4 linked regions of the Drosophila melanogaster genome follow. The protein of the gene in region 3 interacts with the protein of the main gene of each other region in a pairwise test. Each region holds a gene or a part of one and is shown on either strand. Other genes may lie near its edges.

The links.
Region 1: the proteins of Fur2 (region 3) and CG42594 interact in a two-hybrid assay, tested with the Drosophila melanogaster proteins (one large-scale study listed by BioGRID).
Region 2: the proteins of Fur2 (region 3) and ssx interact in a two-hybrid assay, tested with the Drosophila melanogaster proteins (one large-scale study listed by BioGRID).
Region 4: the proteins of Fur2 (region 3) and CG15370 interact in a two-hybrid assay, tested with the Drosophila melanogaster proteins (one large-scale study listed by BioGRID).

The regions. Positions count from the first base shown.
Region 1 is NC_004354.4:4,837,579-4,845,344, reverse strand, and holds the start of CG42594 (uncharacterized protein), read right to left. Parts: upstream 4,513-7,766; 5' UTR 3,905-4,512; intron 1-3,904.
Region 2 is NC_004354.4:1,367,042-1,376,613, reverse strand, and holds ssx (sister-of-Sex-lethal), read right to left. Parts: upstream 6,035-9,572; 5' UTR 5,951-6,034; intron 5,384-5,950; 5' UTR 5,307-5,383; coding exon 5,244-5,306; intron 5,164-5,243; coding exon 4,840-5,163; intron 4,741-4,839; coding exon of another isoform or gene 4,700-4,740; coding exon 4,592-4,699; intron 4,529-4,591; coding exon 4,347-4,528; intron 4,154-4,346; coding exon 3,567-4,153; coding exon of another isoform or gene 3,499-3,566; exon of another isoform or gene 3,457-3,498; coding exon 3,263-3,456; 3' UTR 1,937-3,262; downstream 1-1,936. Other genes in the region: AMPKalpha (AMP-activated protein kinase alpha subunit), read right to left, coding at 427-705; CG14770 (uncharacterized protein), read right to left, coding at 6,561-7,001, 7,240-7,254.
Region 3 is NC_004354.4:16,371,199-16,379,106, reverse strand, and holds the start of Fur2 (furin 2), read right to left. Parts: upstream 6,022-7,908; 5' UTR 5,920-6,021; intron 5,886-5,919; exon of another isoform or gene 5,684-5,885; intron 5,478-5,683; exon of another isoform or gene 5,273-5,477; intron 4,567-5,272; exon of another isoform or gene 4,347-4,566; intron 4,182-4,346; 5' UTR 4,052-4,181; coding exon 3,248-4,051; intron 3,183-3,247; coding exon 3,078-3,182; intron 3,016-3,077; coding exon 2,758-3,015; intron 2,455-2,757; coding exon 2,320-2,454; intron 2,260-2,319; coding exon 2,100-2,259; intron 2,040-2,099; coding exon 1,736-2,039; coding exon of another isoform or gene 1,732-1,735; exon of another isoform or gene 1,685-1,731; coding exon 461-1,684; intron 401-460; coding exon 213-400; intron 144-212; coding exon 1-143. Other genes in the region: nonA (no on or off transient A), read right to left, coding at 7,560-7,793. UniProt on the Drosophila melanogaster protein: Furin is likely to represent the ubiquitous endoprotease activity within constitutive secretory pathways and capable of cleavage at the RX(K/R)R consensus motif.
Region 4 is NC_004354.4:9,222,169-9,228,617, forward strand, and holds CG15370 (uncharacterized protein), read left to right. Parts: upstream 1-3,268; 5' UTR 3,269-3,287; coding exon 3,288-4,400; 3' UTR 4,401-4,520; downstream 4,521-6,449. Other genes in the region: t (tan), read right to left, coding at 772-858; Gr8a (gustatory receptor 8a), read left to right, coding at 5,127-5,967, 6,029-6,180, 6,240-6,329, 6,392-6,449.

The sequences.
Region 1 (7,766 bases), about 12 Mb from region 3:
AAGGCGGGCAAATACAATAAATTTATGCCAACAAACGAGGGACCAGAAGACCGAAAACAGACAACAAATGAAGCAAAAATAAAGTAGAAAATAGGCACAGCCTATTGTCTTAAAAAAAAAAACGTAGGAAAAACTGAGAAAGACACGTATAAGAAAAACAATTACCTGTTGTCGTGGGTTTTTTTTTTTTTGGTCATAAATGTTTACGTCTGTCAGAATTATTTTGGGCCTGTGAGCAATTGTATATATTTTCACAGGCGAGTGTAAAACTTACGATTGAAATCGAAATATGCTAGGATATTTGGGTTGGGATTAGTATAGCTTAAATGGTAAATCCGGTAGGAACTTCTCTCCACTGATTAGGCCAAAAGCACCTGCCTCTTCTGACTTTGTTCGCACTACGCATACGCCTCGTTAGCCGTGGCACTTCAGAGCATTTACCAATTAGCCACCCATTCGCCCTTTCGCCCTCTATTCTGCATTAACAATAGCTGCAGACTCGACACCTTTTAACACCTGAAAGAATTTAATTAATGCAGGTCGTCCTCGCTAAAGCAACCAGAGATGCTGCTTAGCAAAAGGAAGTCCTTCGTCCTCGCCCATGCAAATTAAAAACGTTGAAATGAGTAAGCAACTAAGCCAAAAAAAAAAAAAAAAATTAATCGCAATAATGGAATATAACGTAAAACAGCAGCTGAATTTAAAATTTGTATTTCTAAAGTCCGAGAACTTGGAATTTAATCGCCTAAAAGTATACCTAAAGTTGAAAACTAATGGCCAAATAACGAAACCAAAATCATAAAAATGCGTTGAAATTAGCAAAGTCTAAATTAAATTGAAATAAATGAGAGCTTGGCCAACTTTCGCCCCGCCTACCGGGAAATCCGCTCAGAAACATTGCGGATTTTATGAACGGGTGTGAGAACGCGAAGGTGTCTCAGAAATCCTGCAGGATCCGCTTAGCAGCAATTATCTTCATTACGCGACGAGCGCACAAAAGTATGCAAGAGGGCCAAACAAGCTGAAGCCAAAGCAAAGTCCTGACAATTAGGAGCTTTCTCTTTGGATACAAAATAAGGAGCAGTGGAAGAAGTAAAAAAAAAAAATAAAATAAAGAAAACACCTTTAACCTTTTGCCTCGCATATAAATACGCTGTTGATGGATGTGTTTTGAGTGGCGCTCGAAACGGTGGGGATTCGGGGTCAAACGGCATGGGAACGCGAACGGCAACGGGAGTGGCTTCCTGTTTTTCGGGCTTCTTTTGACTCGAGTTGTCGCCACCGTTCCTCTGTTGTTGTTATCCAGGTGGTGGAAAATCGCGGCGGGCAGGTAGGCTGCTGGGCTGGTGGGCTGGTGGGCTTGGGGGCAGGTGGGGGGAACGGTGTCTAAACGATTTATAAAAGCCAAGGCAGCCAAGGAATGAAGCGGGGTTGAATGGCACAAAAAGTGTTGCAAGCAATTTGCGCAATGGTAGCGAGCGCTGCCTTTGCCTCTGACTTTGGCAAATCCCCCGCCAGTAACCTTTCACCCCGGGCACACGAAAGCAGGTGAGCCAACTCACCCAACACCCCCCTTTTAACCTCTCTTAACCCATGCGTGGGCCAAAAACTTGCTGCCATTTTGCACGTAACTGACATCAGCGCGCTTATAAATCAACTTGCAAATGTCTCTCTGTGTGTTGGCTTTTTTTGTGCCCAACTTTTTTTTCTTTTTTTTTCAGGGGCCACCATTTTTGAGTTCATGATTTTTGGCACACAGACAGAGCAACTCATATGATTAGATTAATGCGTTGTCTAATGGCCTTGGATCCCCCAAACCCCGCATATTCCCCGTCACCCATCCAACATCCCTTTCACACACACATTGTGCGTGCCATCTTGTGGGTTAGGCAAATCGTAATATCATTTTTATAAACATCTTGTTAACCCAGGGCCATACATTTTGGCGAAGAAAGGAAGGGCAGCACATAAATCCACGGCCGGAAAATATGATTTGCGGGTCAAGGGGCTGGCAAAGGAGTGATTACCTGGGCTGGAAAAGGGATGTATGGCTTGCAGTCAGACTCGAAAGTTAATGGAAACAATAAACTATGGGTTCTACATATACGCAAATTGCTATATCTCCTGACCATAATCATTTCAAAATAATAAGCTTTTAGTTTCGATAAAAGTTAATAATTTAGTTTACACACTGTTGGCACTTTAAAATTGATTACGCTGCTTGATATTGACAGCAAAGTTTTAAAAAATTTGCAAAACATGGTTAACTTTTTAATGAAATTTTGATGTTTCTGTTTCGTGCGGATATGAAAGTGTTTAAAATATAATATATTTATATTTTGAGACTAGTGAAGCAATCATGTTTGCTCTCATGCGTGTGGAAAAATGAGATTATGAAACTGAATACATATTTTGTACGTGTTTTTATTGTTTTGAATTAGGTGTATGCTTGAATGCTTGAACTTCGAGCATGGGACTTTTTCTTGAAACTAGATCTGGTGTGTAAATTGAAATAATCTGCGGTGATGGAGGGACTCTGAAACTTGTGTAATCCTCTTGGGATGGAATGCGAGTAACTCATCACGCCCTTGCGATAATCGGTTGGCAGTGTTGCACAATGATGAACAGCCAGCCGGCGGATAAGCGCAGTGTCTGTCAAAATGTTGCCCAAATTGGTTGACTTTTGACATTTGACCTGGACACGTAACGCACCACGCCCCCCGCCCATCCGCCAACCACCTACCGCCCCCAGCGAGTGTCACTTTCTGTAGTTGTAGTTGGGCAGAACGTGTGATTTATGATGCTTTCGTTGGCACTGTGTTGGTAAATTACTTTCCCCCACACACGCACACGCAAAGTGTGCGAATATTTTTGCCATTTTTTTTTGTTTATGCTTTTTTGGTGGAGTATTTCCTCCCCCCCCCACAGTGAAGGAATTTCAATCGCCGGCCAAACTTTAAGCGGTTTTCGCATTTAAACAATATGGCAAGGAGTTGGCCATAAAGAGCCCATCTTTTTTGCATTCTTCCTTGGAAAACCGACGCGTTGACCTTTAAGGCCGTCTTGTGCCACATTTCCTTATAATATATACACATTTGCTCGCTCGACGCTGTGCGTGGGTCATTTAAATGCTACATTATGTTGAATATTCAATTTAATGTGCCTTATAAATCATGTAGGTCCTTGTCCTGTCGTGGCCCCTGCTTTGTCACACTTTCCGGCGAAGGGGGATAAGAGAGAATAGGGATAGTTTTCACTGGCTGATGGAGTCACTTATTTTCCACAATTCCATATTTATGAAGCCCTGATTTACAACTGCTTATCGCTGGGGTCTGGTGCCGGAATTGATTAGCCTCCATCCCCCGGAAAATGAACTGTCATCGTTTGGGTTGCCTAGATAAGGGTCCTGAGCCTCGACCCACACTTCTTCTCCGTGCCGAATTTATCATCAGAAGAGCAAACGCATTGACAGTTTGCAAATAGGTTTTGGTCAACATTTTGGATAAGTGTTATCCAATATTTACTTTGAATTTATTCGAAATCGTCTATCTTATATACGTTTATAATAATAACTATGTTTGGAACAACTGTATTAACTTACTAACCAAACATAGTTAGTTAATTGTTATTCGTTAGGAAAAAAAAAAAAAAAAATATCAATGCAAATATATACTCATTCATAATCATAAAACAAGGCGACAACGTTCGTCGCCCCTCTCGGCGCTTCTCAAAGAGTCTAGCTAATATCGTGGATTAAGTGGGTAGATGCGGATAAATTGGGAGAAAACACACTTGTATTGGTCTTTTTCGGTTCTCGGTGTTTATCAGCCGCTAAGAAAATAGTCCCCAATCTCAGGCAAACACAGGAAAAAGCCACGAAAACAAACAATTTGTGTTTACTAACCGTTCTCGGAGCACTTTGGCCCTCAGCTTATTTTGGGTGATTGGGTTTTCTGGCTTCGCCTCGTTCGCTCGCTGATTATCTCAGTTTTATCTGATTCTTACTTTTCGGTTTTTCACACTTGTGTGGACAAATTTTTCATTTCATGCGCATTTGTTGCATTCACTTGTTATTCGATTCGATTTTCATCACCATCATTATCACTCTCTGTGTGTGTGTGCGTGGTCTGGTGCCGGCAAAACAAAACAAAAACAAAAAAAAAAAAAAAACAATTTATTGAAAATAATGGAAAATCGCGCACAGAGATCAGCGAACTTTTCCAGTGTTAATTTATTTTTCTTTCGTACGAAACACGATGCACAAACAATTATCGTCACGCGATCACAGGACACCTTAAGGACCTGAGGTCTCTGGTTTCTGGGTTTCTGGTCTTAAACAACACGTCGCGAATTGTCGTGGTCGTGGTCCTTCGTCCTTCGGCTGGCTGAGCGGCTCAGTTGGCTCAGCCAAATCGGTTGGCTTCTGTTTGTGTCCTGGGGGTTAATTCACCAGCCGGCTGACAACAAACAGCAGCAGAGTTCAACGTGAGACTGAATGCCGTACGGAAAAGCCTCGTGCGATGCCCTCGTCGCCTCGGAAAATCCTCGTCGTCGTGGTGAGTTTTCCCCAACGGTTTTTCCCCGCACTAAAGAGCGACCGCCGGGCGAACGACCTTGGCTCGCTCTTCGCCAGCTGTTGATTTTTCTCTTTCGGCTACCCAAAATCGCTTATGGCCATCGTAGCGGCCCTAATTGCCAAGAATGGTGGTGGAATGGTACTATGCTAGTGGTACTGACAATACTGACAATCTGGTTTTTCAACAATGCCCTAGTATTGCGCGTCGGGAAAATATTAAAAACATATTAATAACTTGATTTAAAGTAAGAATATGCTTAAGGTGGGACTGTCCTAGATGCTTGAGATACTCGCTCAGACACAACCGTCACACACACATAATACCACCTAGATCCCAATGATTAATTGTTGTGCTAGAGTATCTGAAATAATTACATTTCATTCTTTAATGGGGGAGTCCATCTGAGCGGAAAATGCCATCCAGACGAGGATAAGTTTTCGTAACGATTTAATGGGAACCTAAGTGAATTCCAGGCATCCGGCAATTTAGATGTGTCGTAGATACTTTCGTATCCGAATTACGTATCTGTTGCATCGGGGCCGAAGTTGAGACAAGAAATTATGCTAATTGGACAACACAAGTTTTGACAAGCTACAACTGACACTTTAACTTTAACACCCATGCCCCGAAAAACCCAATTCGCCACCCATCATCGGCCCGCTTAACCCATGGCAAACCGGTCAGAGTCGAAAGGAATGGTAGCGGGACGAAGGTGGTGAAGTGGGTAAGTCATGTGTTATACATCACTTGATTAGGCATTAAATAAATTCTCTGACAAGTTTACACTCAATTACATGAGTTGGCTCCCCCCGGGCTGCGAAATGGAAACTTCACAGCTCCAAATTACTGAGCTGAGCGAATTTAATTGCATGTGAGCGACATTTCGCAGGGAATCCGTTCGTTTAGGGATCATTGAGGGTCAGCTTGGGGAGTGGAGACCATATAAGATCCTTCGCATGTTGACATTGCTATATATTTTCTATGTACTTCCAAAACACTTATAAAAGGTGCTTAAAAGTGAATACCATAGGAGTTATTTGAAGTTCAATAAACTATTAATTCATTTCATTTTCATTAACTATTTCACGTACCCAATTAGTTGAGAAAAAACCAAAACAAAGCGTTCAAGTTATGTGAGTTCTTGTGTTGACTGAAATTTTTCTCCATTTTTCCATATTTCTTTCTTTTTTTCAGCCGGTTGGGCCATCTGTCGATTCACTTTGCCTATCCGGCTAGCTTTTATTTGGCCTTCTGTACACTGTACACTTCTACCATTGCAATTCCTTCGCTTGAAGCTTCTTGGCTTGCAGGCTTAATTGAGAAAGAGATTTGATTAATTTGCATGCCATAAACAATTTGCAATTTGTTTATGCTCTCAAAGTCGGGGCAGCCGTAATTAAAGCAAAGCCCTGCCAAGCTAAGCAACTTTTCCAGCGATTTTCCATTTTCCTGGCTGGCTTGAATGCGTGGGGCGGTTGGACGGGGGTAGTGTGAAAAGAAATGTCACCGAGGCAAGGTAAGCAGATTAAGGCCTTCTTTGACTTGGCAATGCAATTCAAGTCTTTTGCACCGGCATGCAAATGATGATGGCTCAGCTTGGCTGAGCTGCAGAATGCAGCCGAGGAGAAAGCGGGAAGAAAGCCGGTTGGAAAACGGGTGAAAATCGTAGGAAAATCGGGGGAAAATCGAGGAAAACGTGATGAGTCCGGGCATAGAGGCGAGGTAAACCGGTGGAATGCTGAATGTGTTTGCAAATATTTACTCAATGTATTCATGTGCAAACAATTACGCGTTCATTTGTGCGACTTTCGAGTGGCGAACAACAATGACGATGTAGATGAAGATGACGCTGCAGACGGCTGATGGTGACAATGACAGTCAAAATGAGGGACTCCTCGCTGCACCACCCCCACGCAGTCCACAACCGAACCCAACCACTCATACAAAACCACCCATCCAGGCAACCATCCTCTTTGTTTCGTTTTGCCTACTCACATATGCATAATATCCTTGACCTGTTTGCCTTGCTTGCGCTTTTGTGCGTGTCCTCCGCTGTGAAGGATTCATTCACTCGGCTGAAGTGCTGCGGAAAATGCGGAAAAAGGGAATGGGAAGAGCGGAAGGGCTGGCGGAAAACTCCTTTCGGCCATTTGATATGCAAAACTAATCTATGCTGCTAATGGCTTGCATAAAAATATTGGTATTGGTAACACACACACACACACATATTCTCTATTCTCTTTTCCGAAAAAAAAGGAAAACTGAGGAAAAATGGGGAAATCGCGTAAATCAGTTTTTCAAACTTTATCGCCTTGCCACGCATTTCAATATATAGTTAACTTTCTATAATTTATTGAAAAATATGGTATTATATATTGTATAATGTTGGATCTTAGAAAGATCTACTTGACATTCCCTCACAAGGTCCCAGTCTTTATTTTGGACAATTTCAAGGATCTGCTCGAATGGCTATCCAAGGACCTACGGTTAGGAATCAAAATCGGACTCATCTTTGCTCGTTTTGTGTGAATTTAACGCTCTGTTGTTGTGCGTTTGACCGAAACAATGACAGAATCCCCACTTATTTTGCCCCCTCCCCCCCCCACACACTTTCGCAGCATATCTCCCAACTTTCCCAGCCCATCATCCATAAGGTTTCCATCTGTCTTGCCCAAAAGTGTCTGGTTTTCGTTTACTTGCATATCGAATTTCCCCGAGCTTTCTTCCATTTCCTTTAATCGTCTGTCCAAGTGTCAGTCCGTTTTGTTTGATTGATTTTTACACCCTTGGCCGACGGTTAGTTCGCTGGATTCCGAAGCGTAGGAAAATTTAATTTGGAAATGGAGAAAAGTCCATGAGAACGATATATCTGTTGGCTTTGCCTCATGGGAAAAATGGGTGAACTGGGCTGTAAGTTGTTGTTTCGGAATATTGTATAAATTGCAGTCCTCCATTCTTAACTTTACAACCGCTTAGAACTATTGCTAAAAACTGCAGCTTCTTTATTCACACCGAAAAAATGGTTTAAAGTACGAGATTTGTAGAAAACGAAAAATAGCATCGACTTAGTATTATTATCATAGCTCTAATATTTGGATCTCTTGACTAAAATTTTAATTTGCCCGCGGGCAAGTTTGTTAAGCTTAGTGGATTTTCTTCGCAATACATTTGGACTTTTCCTGTGAACTC
Region 2 (9,572 bases), about 15 Mb from region 3:
CCTAACCTAATTGGTAACTGATCCAATCCGAAAATCGAGGGAAAATGTGCTTGTAAAACCAAAGCAGACCCCGTACATATTCCTTTTATAAACTTTCCTTCCAAACTTTTTGCTCATTTAAGTTGGGCTTCTATGTCTGTTGCGAATGTCTAGCCAGTGGCCCAGTTTCTAGATATGCATTTGCCTTCCGCAACAAAATTCGGATGACTAGGCATGACCGTGTACTTTATAGATAAACAAACCTCCAAAATGTTGTTATAGAAAAGCTATTCCCCCTTCGGGCATATCCTGCCTTTTTGTTTATTAAACTGCGGCTTGATTGTTTGTTATTAGTAGCTGGCCAGCGTAATTGGAAGAGGAAACCAGTAACCCAGTTTCCTGGAAAGCTTGGACTTAGAAAGTCTAAGCTTGGAGCCATGAACTCACCTGGTACAACTTGATGATGTGCGGATGGCGGAAGAGCTTTAGGTTCTGGATCTCACGCCGGATCTTGCCCACGACGTCCAGGCTTTTGATCTTCTGACGATTGAGTATCTTGACGGCCACCTTGACGCGTGTGATCTGGTGCTCGCCGATCTTCACCTTGCCGAAGGTTCCCGTTCCCAGGGTTGCGCCCAGTAGGTAGTGCCCAATCTTGACCAGCGGCTGGCCATTGGCGCTGCCGGCGGCCACCGCCTCAGCGGCCGCAGCCCTCATCTGGGGCATCTCGAGCAGGTAGCTCCTTGTTGGACTGGGGGTGCTCCACTGCTCCGCTGCGGATGGGCGCGGAGAGGGGAGCGGTGGTAAGGTCGTTATCGGTTATTGCGTAGTGTACTCCGCTGAATCAACAGAATAGAATAGAATAGAGCAGCCACTCACGTTACGTTCTTCCTGCCAGCCGTGCCACCTCGCCCGGATACGGATTCGGATGTCAAAGTGGTTGTGGATGTGTCAAGGGCGGTTGAATTGATACTGATTTCCTGGATTTCTATTCGAGCGCGGCAACGAGACTCTCCTTTACGCTTGGGTTTTCTTCGCGTTTTGCTTATTTAATTGACATTGGAAGGCGCTGCCACTTCCAACAACACTGCCTTCCAACAACACTCGTTCCAGCAGCTGATTCGCGCCCTCTCTTTCTCTCTCTCTCTCGCCTTCCAGTGGCTATCGATAAGTGGCGGCCAGTGATGCCAGGTAGTTCCGCAGTGGCGCGCAATTTAAAACCATCTTGCCACTTATGCTGAATTTATAAAAAGCAATATTAATGGCTTTACTCAACCACATTTGAAATAGTTAAGCTCGCAAAAAAACTAGTAGGTGTGCGTTGTCGAAACTCTCTGATGTCCAATTGAAAGGGAAAAGATGCCCGTTTTGTGATTTAAATACACATTTATTACACCAAGTTGATTTTTTGGATCCACTCCACGCGCATAGAAGGTCAGAAAGATACCTCTTTTGTGCAACGTTAAGTGTAGATCAACATTCAATATAGATTATCAAGAATACTGTCCTAAAATTCTCAAAGATGTATGGTAAAATTCAGTTTGTTCACAAATATGCGTGTATATGTCAAGCTTTGTATTTTTCTTTTTTAGTTTCTGTAGTAAAAGGCTGCCACAGCTTCTTGTTTTCACCTGTCAAATAGAACCGCTTAATGACTAGTATATAATGTTCGTGTAAATGCGTTTTTACGACGATCAGGATTCAGCTAAGCGAAAATTGAACATTTTAACTATTTATTTGCTTAGCCTAACATCAATTTACAACAATAGTATATCGTCAACTTAAGCTCTGATCCGCACTGTACTGTGCTGACTGTACCTCAAATCTGTATCATCTCTCTCGCTCTCTTTCGCTGAGGCTGCATCGCACCATCTCGCTCGCAGACTCAAGAATTCAATTTGTGTTCGTTTATTATAAACTTTAGGATTTAAGGTTTAAATACATGTATTTCTTTCGTGCTTTAAGTTTATTCTGAAAAAAAAGTCACCTTAACTATGATATTGCTACGAGACTAGGATTTACGTTTAGAGATTATCAATACTAAAAAAAAAAAATTTCGGACCTCTGGGTCTCACGGGTATGCTGGTTGGAAAATTTCAAGTTTATTTCATATTCAGCCATCTTCTTGTCGGGTTTCTGTTGGAAGTTTACCCGAAGTTCGGGTATTTATACATCATTCATATATATTATCTAATATATAGGTGTTTGTATAGTGTGGTGTTCTTGTTCTTGGTTTGTTGGTAGTACATCAATAATTTATTTATAATGTAGTAAAAAGCAAGTGACGCGAACGAACCCTCGCTGTCGACGTTCCTTATAAGTCTACAAATTAACCATCTATTCAGAGCAAGCGTCTTCTGTCTGTTGTCATAAGGTTCGTCTCTCTATATATCCGTGTGTGTAACGTCCGTCTCACAGTGTCCGGCCGGAATAGTCGCCACATCTTGGGGCTTTGCATCCGTGCAGTTACTCAATTCATTTACAATTCGCAATCCACCAAGAGCGAAGATTGTTTCGTGAACTGGAGATGAGTGCAGGAAAGTTATATTTGAGTTTTGGTTGCGTTCTCGTCTCGTCTTGAGTGGCTGATGGTTTGCGTTTGGGGCTTTGTATGTTGCTCATACAAACTCATTGGAATTTTTTCTTATGTGGTTCGATCAAGGATTCGACTCCGACCGTCTTTATGTGTGTGTGTGTGTGTGTTGTTGGGGATTGTGTAGGCTGGTTAACTTTGGAACATTATTTCGTACATCTTAATACACGCTATGCATCTTTAATTTGCTCTGCTTAATTCTGTGATAGTGTTCTTGTGGTACTGCCTATGTCTGCCGTGCACCTTTGCTTTGCCTCTTGCTGCCAATGCTTGGATTTGCTATTCCTGGCCAGTGTGGTTTCGGGTTATATCGTATGGTCTCAACCAATCCTGGCTCTCTGATATGGATATACATATATGGATAGCAAGATACATACATACACATAGAGAGCGAGAGAGTTGGCTACTATTGGATATCGCTTCTGGGTAATATCTCCTCTTCCCTCCTCCGATTGCACTCAATCTATTTCTACTCGCTTCTACCATGTGGCCACCGCCTCCGCCGCCTCCGTCTGCACTCACTTTAAGCTTGTGGACTGGCTCTGTTCATGGTAACAGGAAGAGAGACCGGAACCGTGACATATACCGGAACATACACGGCCAAAACAGCTGGGTAGGCCGAAAGTGACGCAGCTGGCGAGGAGATGGAAACAACTGATGGATGGGCGGGGGCTGGAAAGTAGAGCGGCACTAGGTAGTCGGAGTGGGAACGGGATCTGCCACCGAATGCGCAATATATCTGATGGTTGTTCTGGAGGCTTGCGGGCGGCGGCTTAAACGGAATCTGCTGTTCTTGTTGGGGCTGTGGCAAATGCCATTGCCTACGGGATGCGGCTGGCTGGGGAATCGGCTGCAAATCGGCAATGGCAGCATGAACACTTCACCTGTGAGATGCAGCTAATATCGTGTAAAGAAATTAATGGCGTTTAAATAAATTTCTGTGCATGGTTATATGGATGCGGTTTTTGAGATCGTGTTGTTCTATTTGATCTACCTCTGTGCGCCATGTGGTGGAAGTTACCACCACCGCCTCCACCGCCGCCGCCACCACCACCACCGCCGCCTCCGTGAATGGGCATGCCCATGCCCATGCCCATTCCCATGTTTACGCCCATGCCCATGTTCATGCCCATCGGGTGCATTTGCTGCATGTGGTGCGGATGCGGGCCGCCCATGTTGTGGTGGTTGTTGTTGTTGTTGTTATGATGGTGGTTGTTGGGGTGATTGTTGTTGTGGTTGTTGGGATGGTGGTGCTGCATGTGGTGCAGCTGCGGATGGTGCTGCGGATGCTGGTGTGGATGCTGCGGCTGATGATGATGCGGCGGCATATGCGGATTGTGGTGGTTGTTGTGATGGTGATTATTGTGGTGATGAGGTGGGTGCATCGGTCCACCTGGGCCCATGTGGGGCGGACCACCGCCTCCGCCACCATTGCCACCTCCGATCTGGGCCATAAACTGGGCCGCCTTGGCCTTGCCGTGTTCCTCGGCGAGTCGTACCCAGATTGGCTGGGATCCGCCCTCCGGCACCGTGTTGTTCAGCGCCTTGATCGCCTCTTGAGCTTCCTCGCGCTTATTGTAACTGCAAGCAAGAAAGCGGGTTTCAAAAGCAGAATCGAAGTAAGTGCAGTTCAGCCACCAGTCGAACTCATGATAAATTTGGACGTGGATTTCTGTGAGCATACAATTAAGTGGGGCACACTGGACGGGAATTGAGCACCGTGACCTAATTTCGAATCGTGGATGCTGCACACGCAGATCGCACCCGTACTCACCGCACAAAAGCAACGCCGCGCGGTCGTCCAGTGAGCTTATCCCGCAGGATGTTTCGCTGAACAATCAGGCCATAGGGCGAGAAGATGCGGTCGAGCATGTCGTCGTTGATGTTTCGCGACAGGTTGATGACGTACAAATTCGTATCCTTAATGGACTGCCCACCCGGTCGAGCATACGACACCTGAGGGAGACGAAAAAGAGAGTCACAAAGGAGTCATGGGAATTCCGGGGGATTCTAACGCACCTTTAATCGCTTGTTGCGCACATAGAAGCCATTTAGCTTCTGGATGGCGTCCTCCGAGTCCGACTCCGTTTTGTAGTCCACGAAGCCGTAGCCGAAGCTATATCCGGTCTGTTCCGTTGGCGGGCATACAAAGCAGAGGGGAGTGTAAGCTGCATTCGTGTGTACATGCAACGTGCGACAGGGATGGCACCTGTTACGTGCAGTTCAGCAGGTATTCTGGGCGCTCAGGCGGCCACAACCGAACTTACCTTGAAGTCGCGCATTATCTTGCAGGTGTTGATGGGCCCGCAGCCGCTAAAGAGGTTGTACAGTTCGCGGTCGGTCATGTCCTGTGGCAAGTAATTGATGATCAGATTGGTGGCGCTGGTTCGGTCCACTTGCTGCATTTGCTGCTGTTGGCCTGCGGAGTTATCGTTGCCCTCGTTGTCCTGGCTGTGGTGTTGCTCCTCGTCGCCAGAGTGCTCCTGGCCGTCGCCACCGTTGCCGCCATCTCCATTCTCCTGCTGCATGTTGCCGTTGCTGTCGTCGTCATCGTCGGTGCCGTCATCACGGCCCACATTGTCGCCGGATCCCTGCACCGAAGCAGCGAATAGTCGGGAATATACGCGTGAAAACAGGTTCGTCGGCTCGCTAAGAGAATCCAAAAACTCACCTCTATGTCGGAGGACTGCTCGTCGTCGTGCTCCTGGTCCTGCATCTTATCCGCGTTGGACATGACCTTCTGTGTCAAGCCTTGATAGCTCCTGTTTGTCTGGGTTTCTTGCGTGTTTGCGTCGCAGTTGGCGCCACGAGCTGCAACGATACAAGAGAGTGCAAATCAATTAGTTCGCCAAGAAGAAGTTCAAGAGGGATTCCGATTAGGAGTCGCAGTAGGGACGAGCGATGCTCCTTGTTGCGCGGCTGCAGGATGCAGATTGAGCGCAGCTCCACACTCGGGACTCCGGAACTGCACTTCCTCTCGGCAAAATCAGAATCCGAATATGTGTGTGTACATCTCGGCAGCCGAGCCAAGGGGGAGGAGCCGGACGGAGGGCGCCAGCTTTGCTGGAATGCGGTTGCACTCGGTAGCCTGCCACTGCCCGCCCCTGGTCTTTTTAGGGGTCCGTACCAGGGAGTCCCAATAGCAACTCCGGCGCTACCCGCAATACTTGGAAAAAGCTGCTGGAAAAGTAACTACCAACACTCGCGCACTCGCCCATACACGCACGCACACATACACACGGCAGGCGATGCGTCCGTGTTTTTTGGCTTGGGGCCGTGCAGCCGAAAAAAGCAACACGAAAAAGCGTAGGCAGCACGGAGTCCTCGGGAAGCAGCCAGCGGCGGCCACGGAATACTCTGCAGGTGCAAAATACTCACTTTTTAGCAAACTTCTTCACAAACTGCACCGGAAAGCAGCGAGTTTTGTGCACTTCTTGCGTTTCCAAACGATATACAATGGAAGTCAATTCTTCTTCGATAGCGGTGCGATTTGTATCGGAACCTATCGGGGCCAGCAGTTCTTTGATAGTTCGATAACTCATGCCGTCCGCCTCTGGAAGGCATCAAGTGTTTTAAACCATTTTTTGTCTAATTGCCATTGTTAAGATTATTATTGAATTTCTTCAGTACTTTATAGCAGTTATGCCAAAAACAATTTTTCGCCAGGGTTGAACCTAAAAATATACCAGAACACAGAAATACCACAAGCGGTCGTGGTGCGATAAATTGCCTGCGCGTTCAATTATTGATAGATCGTTATCGAAGTTCACCTGAGCAGTTAAATACACTGTGAAAGAAGTTGTGGCAAATTCAGAGTGGAGCAATCAAAAAAGTTTAAGCAATATAATATAAGATCTCTTGATTTGGGTGGTACTCTATACTCTAGGTCAACGCTTTATTAACACAAGAAAATTAACGTAGCAAATCCTTAAACGCTAACGAAATCCCCACAGCTCATTTGGCATTTCCGATTCTGGTAGTCCAAGTCCTACTCGTGGTGCGAGTAGTGCTCGTAGTGCTCCGAGTGGTGCACCGGCTCCTCGTAGTGGCCGTGCTCGTGGTGCGACTCGCTGTGGTTTTCGAGCACCAGTCCGTGGTTGTGGTTGTGCTCACTCTTCGGGTGCAGGATCTTCAGCTTCTGCTTGGTGCCGCCGATCTCGATAGGCTTTTTCACCAGGTGCTGGTCCTCCTTCTTGATGTAGACGGGCACGGCATGGTAGTGGTGGAACTTGACGCTCTGGTGCGAGGTGGCGTGCTTGTGGTCCACCTCGTGGTGCAGCTCCGTCTCCTCGTGCTCCGGCTCGTACTTCACATGGTGCTCCGGCTCGTGGTGCTCATGATGGTCGTGGTGCTCGTACTCCTCGTGCCCCTGGTGGTAGTCGTGGATCTTCAGAGCTCCACTAACGGCCAGAAGGGCCAGGCAGGTAATCTGCAGGAATGGGTAATATAGTCAATGCGGTATTCCATTTTAAACTAAAAATCTAATGTTAAATATATTTCCAAGTTGTTAATGAGGTGGTGAGGTTGAAAAACAGAACATGCATTCCATTTTCCATTCCGAAATATTCAGAAATATTTGGTTCTTGTTTTTCATAAACTATCTTATTGACTTGAAAACGTTCATTCCATTAAACGAATCTATGTTTGTAAAGTGTTTCGGTGCTTACAGCCAACTTGAGCATGGTTTTCTGGTTGCTTTTGAATCACACACTGGGGCACAATCAAAAAAAATATTCGAAACTGTAGACCGTTACGCGAAGTGCTCCTCTTGGCAGTGGCGAACTGAATGTGGCTCTGCGTTCGGGACCAGATTCGATTTATACCCGGTTTGGGCCAATCCCACCAACGCTGGCCAACCTGTAGCTGGAGTTGTGGCAAGCGAAATGTGAAATGTGCAACACCAGCAACAATGGCAACACACGGCAACGAACTTCAGTCTGTTGTTGTAATTTATGACCGCTGCCTGCCACAATTGTTTGGAAAATTTGGAAAATAGGTGCGTGCGATAGTGGTTCAATTAAAGCGGATTACGTATACGGCATGTGGCCTTTGCTGCGGCGGCGGCCAGTTTCCTGCGCAGGAGAAACCGAAACCCGTTGTCAATCAACGGGTTAACAACCACCCAGTTGAAAAACCAGTTGACGTTGAAAAATTCGATGCAAGTGCAAGGCAATTAGACGGTCAAAGATAGGCAAATAGAAAAAATCACAAAACGGAAAGAGAGGCCCAATGTAATCAATTTTGCCCACGTGAAAGATCCTTCTGAATTCCAAGGACAAGCACTAATGATCGGGCAGTAAACACCATCTATAGGCTAATTGCAATTCTATTAGTTTATCACCATTGCCAATCGTTTTCCCAATCCCAACGATAGCCACCGATAGACAACTTCCCGATTGCTCGCGACAGTTCACTCATGGGCCAATCCCTGATGATTGATGATTAATGATGAATGGATTAATGATGGATTGAGATGAAGAGAAGGGATTTTCGCAATCCCCACTGCAAGCTGCAAGTGTCGGGTGAAAGGTGCGTCCACTTCGATCGATAAACGAACGAAGTGAGCAATTAAAATGCAGCACATTACCATTAGATAATGACTTCGGCGGCGGGTTAACGACTCCACTTGGGAAGCTCGCGAATTGCATAGCCCAAACCCATTTCGTTCCGAATGCCAAAATACCACTTGAAGCGATTTAGTGGGTTAGTGTGCTCTGGGCGGGCACGAAATGGCGGCTGTGTGCACATATAATCGATTTGAAAAGTAAAAGTAAACTGCTTTCCCAGTCGCACGATTTGCATAACAGCCACAACGCCACCACGCCGCCAGTCTGCAGTCTGCCGAGTCCATGTCCAACATGCACCCGACATGTCGAGCAGTTTTAATTATCAATCCGGCGATAAATCTCCTTATATAACTCCATAAATTGACAGGAAGTGCTGCTTACCAAGTCTGTGAAGTAAAAATTAAAGGAATAGCGTAACTGGTTCGGGAATCCAGTAAAAGGCTTGTTTCCTAGTCCCCCATCATTATTCTATGCTTAGATCCTACTCCCAAGAACCGAGCACCCAGCTTAATTTATCATTTTTAATTTAGGATACGCAGTCACCGACTATCTCTCTTCGAGTGCGGACGTCTGTGTCTTTCCAATTGTGTGAGCTTTGCTTATCGCGTAATTACCATCGCCGTTACATTGATATTTATCATCTTATCTTCTTGATCTTCTTATCAACGCGTACGTGCAAATCAAAAACATTCAATATCCATAAATTTATTAACCATGGCCCCCGGGCCACTCAATTTGGGGGATAATCGCTTTGCCAGTCTCAGCGCTAGCCCCAAAGCTAAGAAAAAAAGACCCTTTCAAAAATTACAAGTTGATTTCCCAGACCTCCCTGAAACGCAGTGCAAAAATCCGAGATATTTAGTGGTCTCATCAAAAAACTCTCCGAAAACCATATCCGACTACAACTGCTTTGCTGTCCATAGAGCCCTTAAGTATATCAGCAAAGACATTACATCTATCTCTAATCTTCGGGATGGTAACCTTCTCTTGCTGGTTAACTCCAGGGAAATTAGTGACAAATTTATCAAAGTGACTTCTTTACCTGGCTTATGCGATATCGAGTGCAAGCTCCACAACACTCTTAACTTTGTCAAAGGCACCATTTACGCTCCCTGTCTTATTAACATTCCAGAAAACGAAATTGTTGAGGAACTAAAATCACAAAATGTACACAGCGTATTTAAATTTACCAAAATGATCGACGGCACCCCCAAACCTTTTGGAAAAGTTCTCGTAACATTCGACCGTTTCACTCTTCCCAGTAAACTAACGGTTTCCTGGCACACAGTTAAGGTGTCAGAATATATACCCAACCCGATGAGATGTAAGTCTTGTCAATTATTAGGCCACACATCAAAGCACTGCAAAAACCCACCTGCCTGTGTATCATGCAATCTCGCTCCCCACCTTCCCGTGCCATGCACTCGCATTTT
Region 3 (7,908 bases):
TTCGTACGTATCCAAGGGACAGGCCGAGTAGCATTTGTGCTCATGCATAACCAAATGGTGATCACAGCTAGTGCAGTACTCGGGATGGTCCTGGCATGAGGCACAGTTGGGCTCGCAGGGAACGCAAGTTCTATTCCTGCTGTCTGTGGAGAGTACAAAGAAATAATTGTTTAACAATAGCAAATTTTTGATGAACAAAGCCAGATTATTACTTTCAAAATATCCGTCCGGGCAGAATTGCAGGCAGACGGCGAGATCGATGACGTGCAGGTGGGCCGGAGCACATGTGAGGCAGCTGTCGGGTCCGGCACCGGCGCACGTTTCGCAGGTGTCGTGACAGGGCCAGCAGATTCCAACCTGGTTGGGAAAGGAACGCGGTGGGCAGCGACTTACACAAGTACTGTAAACAGAAAACCATTAGCACCCGAGCTCCACAAATGCGCATGTTGGTACCACTTACTTGTCCAAGCGGTAGTGACTGCAGGCAACGCACTGTGTGGGTCCACGGCCATAGCAGCCGGAGGAGTCGCACTCGGCATCGCAGGAGTGCAGGATCTTCTTGTCGCCATCCCTCGTTTCGGGCGCCGCTACCAGTTGAGCAGCAGAGGCGGTAAATCCAAGGGATTCAGCCGACGAGCCGCCAGCAATCGCTGCGGTCACATTCTGACCGTCCAATGTAGCTGTTGCCGGTTCCGGATCGGAGCCAGCGCTGCTAAAGATGTTCTGATAGTTGAGGTAACTGGCAAAGCTATCCGTATTGAAGTTCCCACCCTCGTTGGCAGGCTGGCCAATGTTCGAGGCCGATGGGAAGAGGAACGGATTGGAGCTGCTTGGGCTGCGCAACTGGGGACTGCTGTTCAGCAGCTCGGACTTGAGCCGCATGGGCTGAGTGGAAGTGCCATAGAATATCAGCTGCCACTTGGACAGGATGCCCGGCTGATTGACGCGCCGGCGTCCGCCGTTGATCACCTGCAGTGTCCAGCGACCCTCCGCCTTCTCGCCCCAAAAGTGAACACTCAGGAAGGGCCAGTCATCGAAGTTGGACTTGACGATGTCGCGCGGCCTCTCAAACAACAGGGTACTGGTGGTGCCCATCGGTGAGGTGAGCAGTATGCGAAGATTTCCTCGCGGGAAAAACCGTAGGGTAATGCGACATTGGACATGCTCTAGGTAACGCACTTCATTGATCGTGCCCGCACACCCATTGACATCCATATGCGTGGACAAGGTGGAACCGTATGCACCATCTATCTTGCGATCCTCATTATTTTCCCGCGACTTGCAGATGTGCTGCGGCGGCACCGATGTCCACTGCTCCGCCAGTGACACCATTGCTCCAGCATCCATTAAACCGTATCCAAACTTGTGGCTATACTTTCGCTTAACACCGTTCAGTGTCCATCCGTTCTCCTTCTCCAGTGGCGCCGGTCTTGATGTGTACACCACCAAGTATTGCATGTCGCGCCAAGTCAATTCCGGATTGGCCTCTAGCGCCAGGGCGCAAATGCCGGCTGCCAGTGGTGCCGATGCCGAGGTGCCCGTATGTTCCACCGTACATATATGATCGGGTCTCAGGCTGCCGTCCATGTCGACGGTGGCGACGCTCTTGTCATGTCCCGGCGTTCCGGAGCTGTAGGTGGTAGCCAGCGTGGAGGAGCACTCCTCCAGGTACCAGGGCTTGAAGCTGCAACAACATTACTGAATCAGAATCCAAGTCTACATCCTGTCAACTTACCCGGCTTGAGTGGCACTCGAAATGGAAAGGGTGAAGATCGAATTGGTGTAGCCATCGCAGTTGCAGGAGTCAGTGTAGCGTCCACCGTTGCCAGAGGCCCAAACGAATATCGAGCCCTTGCCCTGTCGTCCGCTGGTCACTCCGTAGATGAAGGCTCGGCGGGCCAACGGACCAGGACCATCGACAGTGGAGCCATCATCCTCCGGTCCCCAGGAAGCGCTGTATATATCGATGTGTGACGGATTAAGACTCAATGCCTGGGCCTCAACCACATCGTTGACCTTTCCGTCCAGCATTCGTACTCCTAATAGCACAAACAGCTTAGATGGTTTGCAATTAATACATATCAACCATGATCACTTACCACCAATGCTGGCATTGTAGGCCACTCCCACTCCGCAAAAATTGTTGAAAGCCACCGCGGCCACTTCGCCGGCACATCTGGTTCCGTGCTTGTTGTCACCATTGTCCTGGGGCGTTGGATCCGAATCGTTGCCATTTATATCGAAAGAGGCCTCGGGATCCTGCGTTTAAATAGTATTTTTAACAATTGATCATTGATTTTTTTTTGTTGGGATACTCACATAGTTTTGGGCCAAATCGGGATGGTTTGTCTGAATGCCATCGTCCAGAATGGACACGACCACGCCCTTGCCGGTGTAGCCCTTTTGCCAGGCGGGACCCACATTCATGTCCAAGCCATCCTTGGCGCCGCCATTCTACAAAGCGATTTTTGTGGGAATTTACAAATTGATTATTAAACATGACATTGGCGAAGAGATAAGCAAAAAATAGGCAATCAATCAACAAAGAAATCCAAACATTTACAAATAAAGCATGTTAAATGAAAAGAAAATATTTCGAAATCAACAAAATCAACACTAACACGGTTAGTAGCAATCGATTGAACGTCTCAAAGGAAACTACGCTGATGGTATAGAGAATCGAGCTAATAGACTAATGGACTATAAAATATATATGGATTCATGAAGCATGCATTTAAATGAGAGATGATTACATACTTTACTCACCAGATACCACTGTTCCTTAAACAACGGATCCGGAAAGATGAAATGCGAGCTGACATCCCGGTACTCCATGCGCTGTGAGTGCGAGGCTAACGAAATCGATTCTGGGGAGAATGAAAGATGCGGATTCGGATCGACAACGTAGCCGCCGTGTTGGCGTAAAAGATTATACGGACTGTAGGTGGGTAAGTCCTGGTACGGGCCGTCCCTCTTTCGGCGCACCTTCTCGTGCTGTTGCTGCATCCATTTCACCTGCAAGGCAATCATGATTGAAATCTCTGCTCCAACTGGATACTTTTTTAGAGAGTACACACCTCGTTCTCTGATTTAAGGGCGCCCTGATGTTTGCGACTAGAGCGCAGCGAACGCTTCGATACATGGTGATGCTGAAACAGATAGTAGTTGTCCAGCGATCCAATCTATGAAAAATTAAGTAAATTGTATGAGCACCAATTCCATTGCAGCGTTGGACAAACATTCTCACCTGTCCTCTATTGATAAATCCATGTTTGGTAGCTATAACATCTGCCATTTGCTTGCCAGCTGGAATGTTGACGGCGAACTCATTTGTGTATATCGCCTCTTCCGGAATGCTGAAGGCGCCAAACATATCGACCCCGTCGAAGTCGAGGCTATTTGACTGCCGTTCAACAATTTCATCTTTCGCACTGGCATTTGTGTGAGTATTTTCATAGTTATAATCGTATTTGCCGCCGCTAATGGTCTCAGCTTGACCCGCTCTTTCACCTCCCAGGCCAACCAGGTCGACCTTGTGGAGCTCTCTGTCATTACGATAATCAACATCAACATTCGATGATGATGATGATGATGATGATGGGGGATTTGTTCTTCTACTGCTGTGCAGGGACGACACATCATATGTGGTCGTTGCACTATCGTTGCTGAGTATTCCGACATAATTCTGAGTCTCACCCGCACTACTCCGTAGAGCACAACTAGTATTTGGGCTTAGGATTACTAAAAATAATACAAAATATATACAGCTCTGTGCCATTCGGTTAAATGTACATAAATAGATTCTATTGAGTTTTGCCGTTGCCGTTTCTTTTGCTCTTTGTGTTACAGTCGTTCCAGGGTCATGGACTCGCATATGGAGCATCATCTTTCGCCGTCCGATCTTTCGGTACGTTGGCTCTGCGAGAGATTTGGGGCCTCCACAGCGGGAAGGTCGCTGCTTCTCCAAGCCGGACGACCATGGATCTGTGATCTGTGGCGTGGTTCCAATTCTACCGATGGTAACTCGGCTGGACCTCGTCGTATTTGACATATTTAACTAAGTTTAGCTAATGGTATTAAGGTAGTTTGATTCTCCCGAAGAGTCCTTTTGCGACGTTTCCCTTTCCTGTTGTCGTACTCATGAATCTATTTTTTTGATCTCGTATCTCACGATCTAGTATCTGCAAGAGAACACGAAAAAGCACTTCAATTGTAGATTGAATTTGTGTTGTGCGAGAGACCCAAATAAAAACCTTGGACCGGTTAAACGTGGGCTTTTTATAACCAGAGATGCCAAAATGATTCATATATCACAGATATTTATGGCCGAAACGGTTTGTGCTTACTTATTAATGAAGTGCCTATTTGCGATGATCCATTGTTCGTCGGATGACACAACAGAATCACCTGGGGGGAACTACAGGTAAGTGTTAACAATGAGTAAGCCATATATGTACATATCTCTGTACATACATATGTACGTATCTATGCACATGTGTATCCACATGTCATTTGATTCTATTGTTTTCGGTCAGAAAGTCCCCCGAAGTGTAAGATGCAGTGGGTCTGCAATAGGGGAATTATGCATTAGCCCATTCTAATCATGTTTCTAATTAACATATTCACCACTACGGAACCCGAGCTTTTAAATTGAATTAACATTATTATTTATTGAAATAGCATTATACTGAACTCAGTAGCAATTGAAAGCAAAAAAAAAAAGGTATAAACAAATAACGGGAAACCGGGGATATCACTTCATCGAACCCCGCTTGTTTATATGAAAACCCTATTAAAAATCAGAGAGTTACCGTAAACCTGCGACCAAATGAAGAAATTTAATTTTATAATCAAACCAATTAGGCATTGCCAACGCGTTTCCAATTAGAAAATAATATATGTATGTATGTATGCACACGGCGCTGCATATAAATTTATATTATCAATGTTTAAATTTGTGCACGCATCTTTAAATTTTAATGAGTACATGTGTATGTATGTATGCATGTATGCATATGTGTTAGTCAAGTGATATGTTTATCCCATATTTCGATATACATATGTACATAGGATATGCAGTTATGCATGCCCGATATTGCATAGCTAGACGCATATGCTACATGAAAAGGCTATTAAATTATGGCTATGGTATCATATCAACAGTATCATATGTACAGACAACATCTATTCCGGTCTCTGTTTTACTGTGCCATTCGTTTAAAAAAAGAAACATACATATATGGCTGTGTTTGCTTGTAAGGAAATACTTCACTTTGCCGAGCATAATCCTACAAACGTATGCATATGTACGTGTGTATACATGTTTCTGGGCAAGTTCAGCTTGTACATCTCCCATTTTCCATCTCAATCACTCTCGCTGTATTTCCCACATGCTTATTAAATCACACATCTCCACATTTAATCACACTAATTTCGCACTGTGTGCACACTATCAACAAAAAAACAACAACAACAATTAAGCCACCAAGCCAACTTTTTTTTGTATGTATACATTTGCGTCCGATAATGTTTATGTGGCTGTGTGGGTCCGTGGGGCTTTATACACATTTGCAATTTTTATGCGTAAGAGTTGCCATTTCGATGGTGCATACATACATACACCCACAGATGTATGAAATCACGTAATGCAAGCCATGCATTCGTATGCTCTTTGCGTACATACATACATCATTGTGCATCAGAAATGGCAATAGCGATTCATGTAATCCAAAGCATTATATGTACATACATATTTATGCACAAATTGGCTCAAAGCGGTCACATTTAGAAATAAATCACAGATACACTCTTTAAGCTTTATTTAGCTATTGTTAAATCAATGCAATGCTATGCAAACGCAATCGAACAGACTGAAAACTGAAACTGAGACTTGAAAAGCGAAAGAGAACGCATGCTTACCATGCGTACATACAATATAGGAACTAGCCGAAAGCCGAAAGACCAAAAAGCCGACCGAACGAACAAGCGACGCAACCTCGACTGCGCTCCAGCTTAAACTGAACTTTATTTTGAAGTTAATACATATAGCCAACGTTGGTTGTTTCTTTCTCGCTGGATTTGTGCTAACCGCATACACAAACACACGCCAAGTATTAACGTACAAACGAACATACAAACGTACGTACATACAATCGTGCAATCAAACATTCGTACATTGGCAAGTGTACGTATGTTTTTACATAAAGCACAGCTTTCGGAGCTTTCAAAACAAAATGCAAAACATAACACGCAACCGTGCTGTAACAATAAAAAAAAAGAGAAATATCAACTATTACGTACGCACGCATACACCGACGTGCATTTCGTACCACAGCCGATGATAAATACACATTTAAGACGTGTTTCGATAGGAAACTGAAACTTTCGTGCAAGCCAAGTACATACATACACACAAACCGCTGGAAGCTTGTCCATCCATCCATCCATACGTATGTTTGTACCGTACATACATACGTGCGAAGACGCTCTCTAAGCGCTGACATTCAAACAAGAGATAACATTTAGCGGTAGCGCAAGGTTTTCGTTGTTATTGGTTAGCCGAGATTAGCGTTTCCATTTTCCGCTTTTTTGTGACCCGAAAAACAAATGAATCCAGTCGCACAAAATCCCCCATAAATGTTTGGTTGCTTGTATGTATGTATTTAAGCCAAAGATTTTGGCAAATCCCAAATGTATGTACATACATATGCATCTTGAGCCCCGGTATCGCTACACAAACACGCTCGCAAATACAAACAGATGCGAAGGCAACGCGCTACTTTTTAATATCTGCTTCACCATTAAACAATTATTAGCGGTTAGGACAGGTTATGGTTGTTTCCAATGGGAAGTAATACACAAACCTTAAGCAGACGCAAATTGGAAGTGCACTGTAATAAAAAAGGCCTTGGAAGTAATATAAAAATTAAATTATTTATTTCAATTTCGCTTATCGCTGACTTATTTTATGTTGCCGGAAATACGAAAAAACGTATCAAATCGAGCGGGTTTCGGCATAAAAGAAATAGAAAAAATGAATGTTTCCAAAATAAATAAAAATAAATTTCCTGTTTTTCAGCTATATTAAATTATTAGCTTTCTATTCGATTGCTATTTATAGATTTTAATGCCAGTTAGACTTGCGTAACAATAAATAACAATAAATAAAAATAAATAAAAATAAATTGCCTGTTTTTCACCTATATTAAATTATTAGCTTTCTTTTTGATTGCTATTTATAGATTCAAGTGCCAGTTTGACTTGCGTAAAAATATGTTTTCAGATCGGTTTTGCAGTGTTGCCAGATTGGTGGTAGCATAGGTAAACAGCTGTTGAATGATACCGTTAAATAAGATACGAGTTAGATCAAATAAATTTACTAAAATAATGCGATAAAACGAAGCTATTAGAATGATTATTACGATCAAAAGAACTTTGTTTAGAACATTTGGATACAACCTTTTTTATTTGAAAGGGTTTTATGCTTATATGTTTTAATACTTTTTAAATCTTCAAAGCTTTTCATTTCAGCTCATTGCAGTTCCATATCCCCGAATTAATCATAAAACAATTAACCAATTTAAGTTGCTTATGCATTTTTTAATAATATTTGATCGAGCATTAAGCTGTGTGCGTTTCTTAAAGCTTTCACATTTCTGTACAATTTTCGTATAAAACACGTGAGATGAGAACTCTTCCAATACGAATGCCACTAAAATTATATCCGAATCCAAATCTGGTGGGCTGAAGTTTGAAGTAATCTCGTTTATAGGACCGTCAAGGCGTTTGATCTCCTGCAAACACAAACTGGATTAGTTCAAAATTCTGGTAGGGAGTATATTTCAATAATGCAGCGCGTGGTTAATAAAGTGCTGCATAATAAATAAAAAAAAAAAAAAACGGAAAATG
Region 4 (6,449 bases), 7.1 Mb from region 3:
AAGCCACGAGAATCACGAATCTGCATTTGTAAATAGCGTCTGGGTCCGGGAGTTGTCAAACGAATCGAGGTCTCCGGGTGGCCCGGCCATTAAGATTAAGCCCAACCGACTTTAGTTTATTGCGACCGCAATTCAGATTAAAATGTGGGTTATCATCAGGTGGAGTCCAATAGATACATGCATATATAGATAGAAGCTTGGTGCCAAATTCCTATATACCTCTTGCTCACTTTTGCACACCAAACATATATATCTTCATCTTAATCTATAGTAATTGGGTTCAGATAAGGCTGCTCTCTTTATGGTTAATGCAACTAGTTACCCCTTTAATTGTTATTAACATGTACTTTTGGGTACTTTAAGTTCTGTCTGACAGTTGGCCCATTTTAGAGCTTAACTTGATATATTTTATTATATATTTTATTATACAATATAAAGCATCGTAACACAAACCATTCAAAATCCAATTAGATATTTTTTAAGAATATTTATATTAAACGTATAGCTCGTTATCACTATTAGGTTACAAAAAAAAGTTAGAGCTTTAAGTGGCTTTTGCCAGATATATGGTTGCTAATATGGTAATATTTTTTTCTAGTGAAAAACATTAAACAGTTACCCGTTCTTCCCCAAATAAACTTCTAATAATAAACGCAGAGCCATTAAACATTTAGATTGCGTGACACCAGTTGAGTTCTTAAAGGTCGTGTGAGTTTTACTACATACATATGTATGTACTTACTTAACTAAACTTAACTAAAAAGAACTTACCATATCGAAGCCAACTTCGTAATGGGTGCCCCTGGTGTAGAGCACTGGCACCGCCTGGCGACGTGGCAGGATCTTTCCGGAGGACATCTTGGAGATCTGTTGATCTAAAATGGGTTCGGGGTTCGGCGATGGGAACAACTCTTTTTTTTTTGTTTTAAGCAGTGGAAAGCTCTTTGCACTCGGCGCAAAATAGAAAAGGTAATCAAGAATAAGACGCGTCTGTTGATGATAACAAAGTGTGAGTTGTAAACAAACAAAAAAACAAAAAATAGTTAGTATTCCAATCAGAATGCCAGCTGATTTGTTCTAGAGCGCTTGAAGGCAGAATTCAAACTGATTTGTTTTGTTTTCGCGCCGACGAAGGCAGGCGTCGGCAGAGAGCGCTGCTGCAGCGTCGGCGGCGGCGGCTGCGTCGGCGTCGGCGTTATCGATTACCGACCGTTAGTTAACCCACTAATGACCGAGATACACGCTGTGTAGTTTGGGTTAAGTTCATTAGAGGGGCTGATGCAATTTTGCAGTTATAACTATGACTTCATACTTTGCTTTTTAGCAAGTCCAGAGATCAGCTGGGAATATATATTGTACATATATACTAAATTATTTTAGAATCAAGTTCACTGACCCCAAACGGTTATTTCGGAAGTTTAGGAACAAATGTAAATTTTGTTTTAACTTCATTTTATAGTGTAACATAAAAAATCATCGCCCAAAACCGGCTGGGGTTAAGGGCCGCTTAGAACTTTCAGATTCCAAAAACCATAGATTATTCAGCCTACTTATTAGAAGTTGTTGACTGCGTCCCAAAAAAATCTAGATATTAGAATGCTTTCGGCTGGTAAGTCAATTAGTCCGTCGTCTAATAGGCTTTGCGGCTTAATGGAACGCTTTTTGCCTCATTGTGTTACCCCTTTTCTTTGCGTATACGTAATATGAGTGCTGGAAATATCCGGCATACCCCGATGCTACCCCCTCTTTCGACCAACAAACTGACCATGAATATTTTCGCTTTTGTTTGCCGACCATATAAACACGTTTTCGATTGTTTCGCCGTTTTCTTTTCTTTCCATTTATTGCCTTTTTAACTGGGTTGGATTTTGCATTCCCCGATTTTCTGCTTAATTTTCACGCCAAATGAAAAGCGTGAGAACCGCGAACATACATAATATTCATTAGCGAATTATAGATTGGGTTTGGTTTTCAGTTCTAAATTTTCAGACTTCGCAAATTAAATGCGAATAAATAAATATTTAAGCAATCAATCCAGATGCCACTTGCATATTAATTGTATTGTTTTTCGTTGTATTTTGTTTGCCATCTGAGAGAGAAAGAGAGATTTCCAAGTGGCCTACAATCGCGATGATAATGATACTGAAAATGATGATCGTGATAATGATGTCGCAGAGCAACTTTCTCAGTTTATTTTTTTTCCCCCTATTAGCATCACAATTAAATGTTTTTTATTAATTTCGTAGCGCGAAACTGAAAATTAGTATTGGCGATATGCGCCGATATTATATAAGTGAGAATATCGATTAGGTATGAATGAACACGGTAATTTCCCCGATAATTTCGATAGCTGCGAACAGATCAGGTCGCTTTCATTATTCAATTTGTATTAACTTTCGTTCGTTGTTGTCGTCTGGCTGGCGGCTAGAAAAATGTATGCATCGCATTTCAATAATAATGAAAACAAAAGTTAAAACAAATAAAACAACCGCTAGTTTCGGTGCGATGGAGAAAGGGCGAGGAGGGGGGCTAGTGTGGATAGAGCGGGATAGTGAGATTCCGTCGAACGGTGATTGCAAGAAAATGACATTTTACAGTTGCCCCCAAACACCCTACACTCACCTGCGTTTTGGAGCATCTCGGTTTTATGACACCGTTGGCAGCGCTCCATCGAAAAACCTAGAACTACAAAGTATTACTCATACATTCGCGAATTAATAATCCTTTTTATATCATACATTATGATATCCTTATTATATAAGGCATTATTGTTAATAATTATATAAAAATATGGAATATTATGATCACTCTTTTCTTTAGGATATCAGTACTAGGGTCCAGTGCAGAGACGTCAGAAACTGATAAAAATTCGAAGATATTTATTAATTTTTTTTAGAAAGAAACGCATGATGCAGAGTGGGAGATTCCACGCTGCGTAACAGAATGGAAACTTTATATTAATTTTATCAATTTACAAGAACTCATGCAGATAGCTTGTATGCAAGTTCTTTAAAGATTAACAAATTAATCGGAGAATAAAAATATTAGTAACATAATGAATAAGGTAATAATGGCAAAAAGAAATCCATTATTAATTTGCTAAAAGAAAGGTATACACGCACAAAGGGCATTTGAAGGTCGGCGCAGGGCAAGGTGTCATCCATTTCACCCGAGGGCTCCGTAGGTCAAGATGCTTGTCGTCGCCAGCATTGGCTGTTGTATATAAATTTTGACAAAAGAAAGACTTCGGTTTAAACCAATTTTGGCAAGGCGGCGACCATAAGGTGATGACCACTCGACGCGACGACATGGCATGGATTAGCGGCCGTTCCCACCTGCTGGTGCCTGTGATCTTGGTGCTGTTAATACCGTTGGTCGCGGGCTTCGGCAACGAGTATGTCCACATCAAGGTGCATGTGCCCAAAGAGGAGTCAGCGGCGGAGGAGTCGCCACACAAGGTGATCCACCACTACCACCACCATCCGCATCCGCATCAGTTATACCGCAATCGGGGACGAGCCCGTCCCAAGCCCAGTCCACTGCTGGAGAGCGTAATCCTCTCGGATCTGGACAAGCCGCTGCACATGAGCGAGCATGCGGACTATCTGAATCACGCCAAGGAGCTGGCCGACCACCTCACGGAGACGTATGCCAAAAAGGCAGCTCCTCCGCCGCCGCCGCCGCCCAAGAAGAAGGTCAACACTTATACGATCATTGAGGAGCAGCACAGACCACATGGCTACGACTACGAGGATCACCATGAGCCCAGTGTGGAGACTTATCGAGTGATTGAATCGCGACCCAAGCAGCAGCACCATCATCACACTCATACTCACCATCCGGTTGAGGAGGAGGAGGTGGACGACGATTATGGATATCACTATCCGAGCGGGGGAAATCATCATCATCATCATCATCATCAGACTGGCGCCTATGCGGAACCCGCACCAGTGGAGGAGCACATCGACCAGGAGCCGGATACGGGCTATAAGTATTCGCCACACAGTCACGCCTACATCCCGCCCAGCCACGGTCAGGCCCAGCGGAGCTCCAAGCAAACCAGAGCGCCAGCGTACACTCTCGAAGCTCCGCAGGAATCCTCCTTCGGATACGATTACTCGCGACCCTCGGCCGGAAGTAGCACTGACTTCCGGCCATCCGTCCAGGTGCCATCCAGTGACCCGTACGGCGAGGAGGAACCGGCGGACACCTATGGACCACCGCTTACGGCCACAAGGCGTCGCCGGCCATCGCAATCCCTGGTGGATTGGCCCGAGTCCAAGGGATTCAACAGTGCCGCGTCCGAAACATACAGTGGCGTCGATAGCTACAACGTGGGTCATGTTCAGGGCTATGGATCCAGTAGCTATCACCAGTACAGTGGTGGGCCCTATCTGTAGGCGTTCCAACACCCCGTCTAATCTAAGATCTATTTATTGCACTTTTTTTTTCCTAGCTTCGTAAGTCGATAGTCAGTTTTCAGATTTAAGCGATAAATAAATAAATGTTTGTAAACACTTAAAGAAATGTTATTCAATTTCTAGGAATCAAGTTGTTAGAAGTAATAAACAAAAGGTTAACTTATTTGTTTATTTATTTATTTGTTTCAACTCAATCCTAGCAGTTGGAAAGCACCAAGACCACTTGAAAATTATAATGTAATAAAAACGCAAATTTGAATAGTTGAAGTAATAAAAAAAAGAGACTGTCTAATTAGTATGCATATTATGATCTTGAATTCTCAAATTAGTTTATTTAAACACTAAAATCTAATATTCTAATGGTGCAAGAGTAAAATGCACTCATTTTTGTTATTGACTTCAACTTTGGATACCAACCGGTTCACTTGGCAATGGGAATTTAAGTATACTACTTAGTGCAATTATCCTAAGTCTTGATTCTATCTATAAAACGTATAATATATTTACATTCTGATTATTTATTATTATTTCAAATACGGAAATCGTGTTTGGTACATTCATACATGGACTACTGTTCTCAGTGTTTTTGAGGAAGTCAGTTAGGCTAATGGATTTCTCAGTTGTTTGTTGGCCCATTTAAAGGGAGATCCGCCGCAAGGATAAGGCCTGTCCATCCATAAGGGTTTCACTTCCGAGCAGTCAACGATGAGCGGCCATCTGGGTCGGGTCCTGCAGTTCCACCTGCGGCTCTACCAGGTGCTCGGCTTCCATGGGCTGCCGTTGCCGGGCGATGGGAATCCGGCCAGGACCAGGAGGCGTCTGATGGCATGGAGCCTGTTCCTGCTCATTTCGCTGAGTGCCCTCGTACTCGCGTGCCTCTTTAGCGGCGAGGAGTTCCTCTATCGCGGCGACATGTTCGGCTGTGCCAATGATGCCCTTAAATACGTATTCGCCGAATTGGGCGTGCTGGCCATATATCTGGAGACGCTGAGCAGCCAGCGGCATTTGGCCAACTTCTGGTGGCTGCACTTCAAGTTGGGCGGCCAAAAAACGGGCTTGGTGAGCCTGCGCAGTGAGTTCCAGCAGTTTTGTCGCTATCTGATATTCCTGTACGCCATGATGGCCGCCGAAGTGGCGATCCATTTGGGATTGTGGCAGTTCCAAGCGCTCACCCAACATATGTTGCTCTTTTGGAGCACCTATGAGCCGCTCGTGTGGCTGACGTATCTGCGCAATCTGCAGTTCGTACTGCACTTGGAGCTGCTCAGGGAGCAGCTGACCGGCTTGGAACGCGAAATGGGTCTGCTGGCGGAGTACTCGCGATTTGCTAGCGAAACGGGTCGGAGTTTTCCTGGATTCGAAAGTTTCCTGCGCCGACGACTAGTGCAGAAGCAGCGCATCTATAGCCATGTGTATGACATGCTCAAATGTTTCCAGGGTGCCTTCAACTTCTCCATTCTCGCCGTCCTGCTGACCATCAACATACGCATCGCCGTGGACTGCTACTTCATGTACTACAGCATCTACAACAATGTGATTAACAACGGTGACTTGGGGATCTATCATTTAAGTACATCATGTAGTATATATGGAGTATCATCCTACAGATTACTACCTAATCGTTCCCGCCTTGCTCGAGATTCCCGCCTTCATATACGCTTCGCAGAGCTGCATGGTCGTGGTGCCCAGGATCGCCCACCAGCTGCATAATATAGTCACCGATTCCGGTTGCTGCAGCTGTCCCGATCTCTCCCTGCAGGTGGGCTGCCATGGTATCATGCTGTCGTATCTCACTTTCCCATCCTTGATTCTTGGCAGATTCAGAACTTTTCACTGCAACTCCTGCATCAGCCGATACGAATCGATTGCCTCGGCCTGACCATCCTGGATTGCAGTCTTCTAACTCGGGTGGGTGTGGTGTACTCTCGCTCTTCGAGTAATGGTTTCACACATAACCACTGTCCTTTCAGATGGCCTGTTCCGTGGGCACCTACATGATCTATAGCATCCAGTTTATACCAAAGTTCA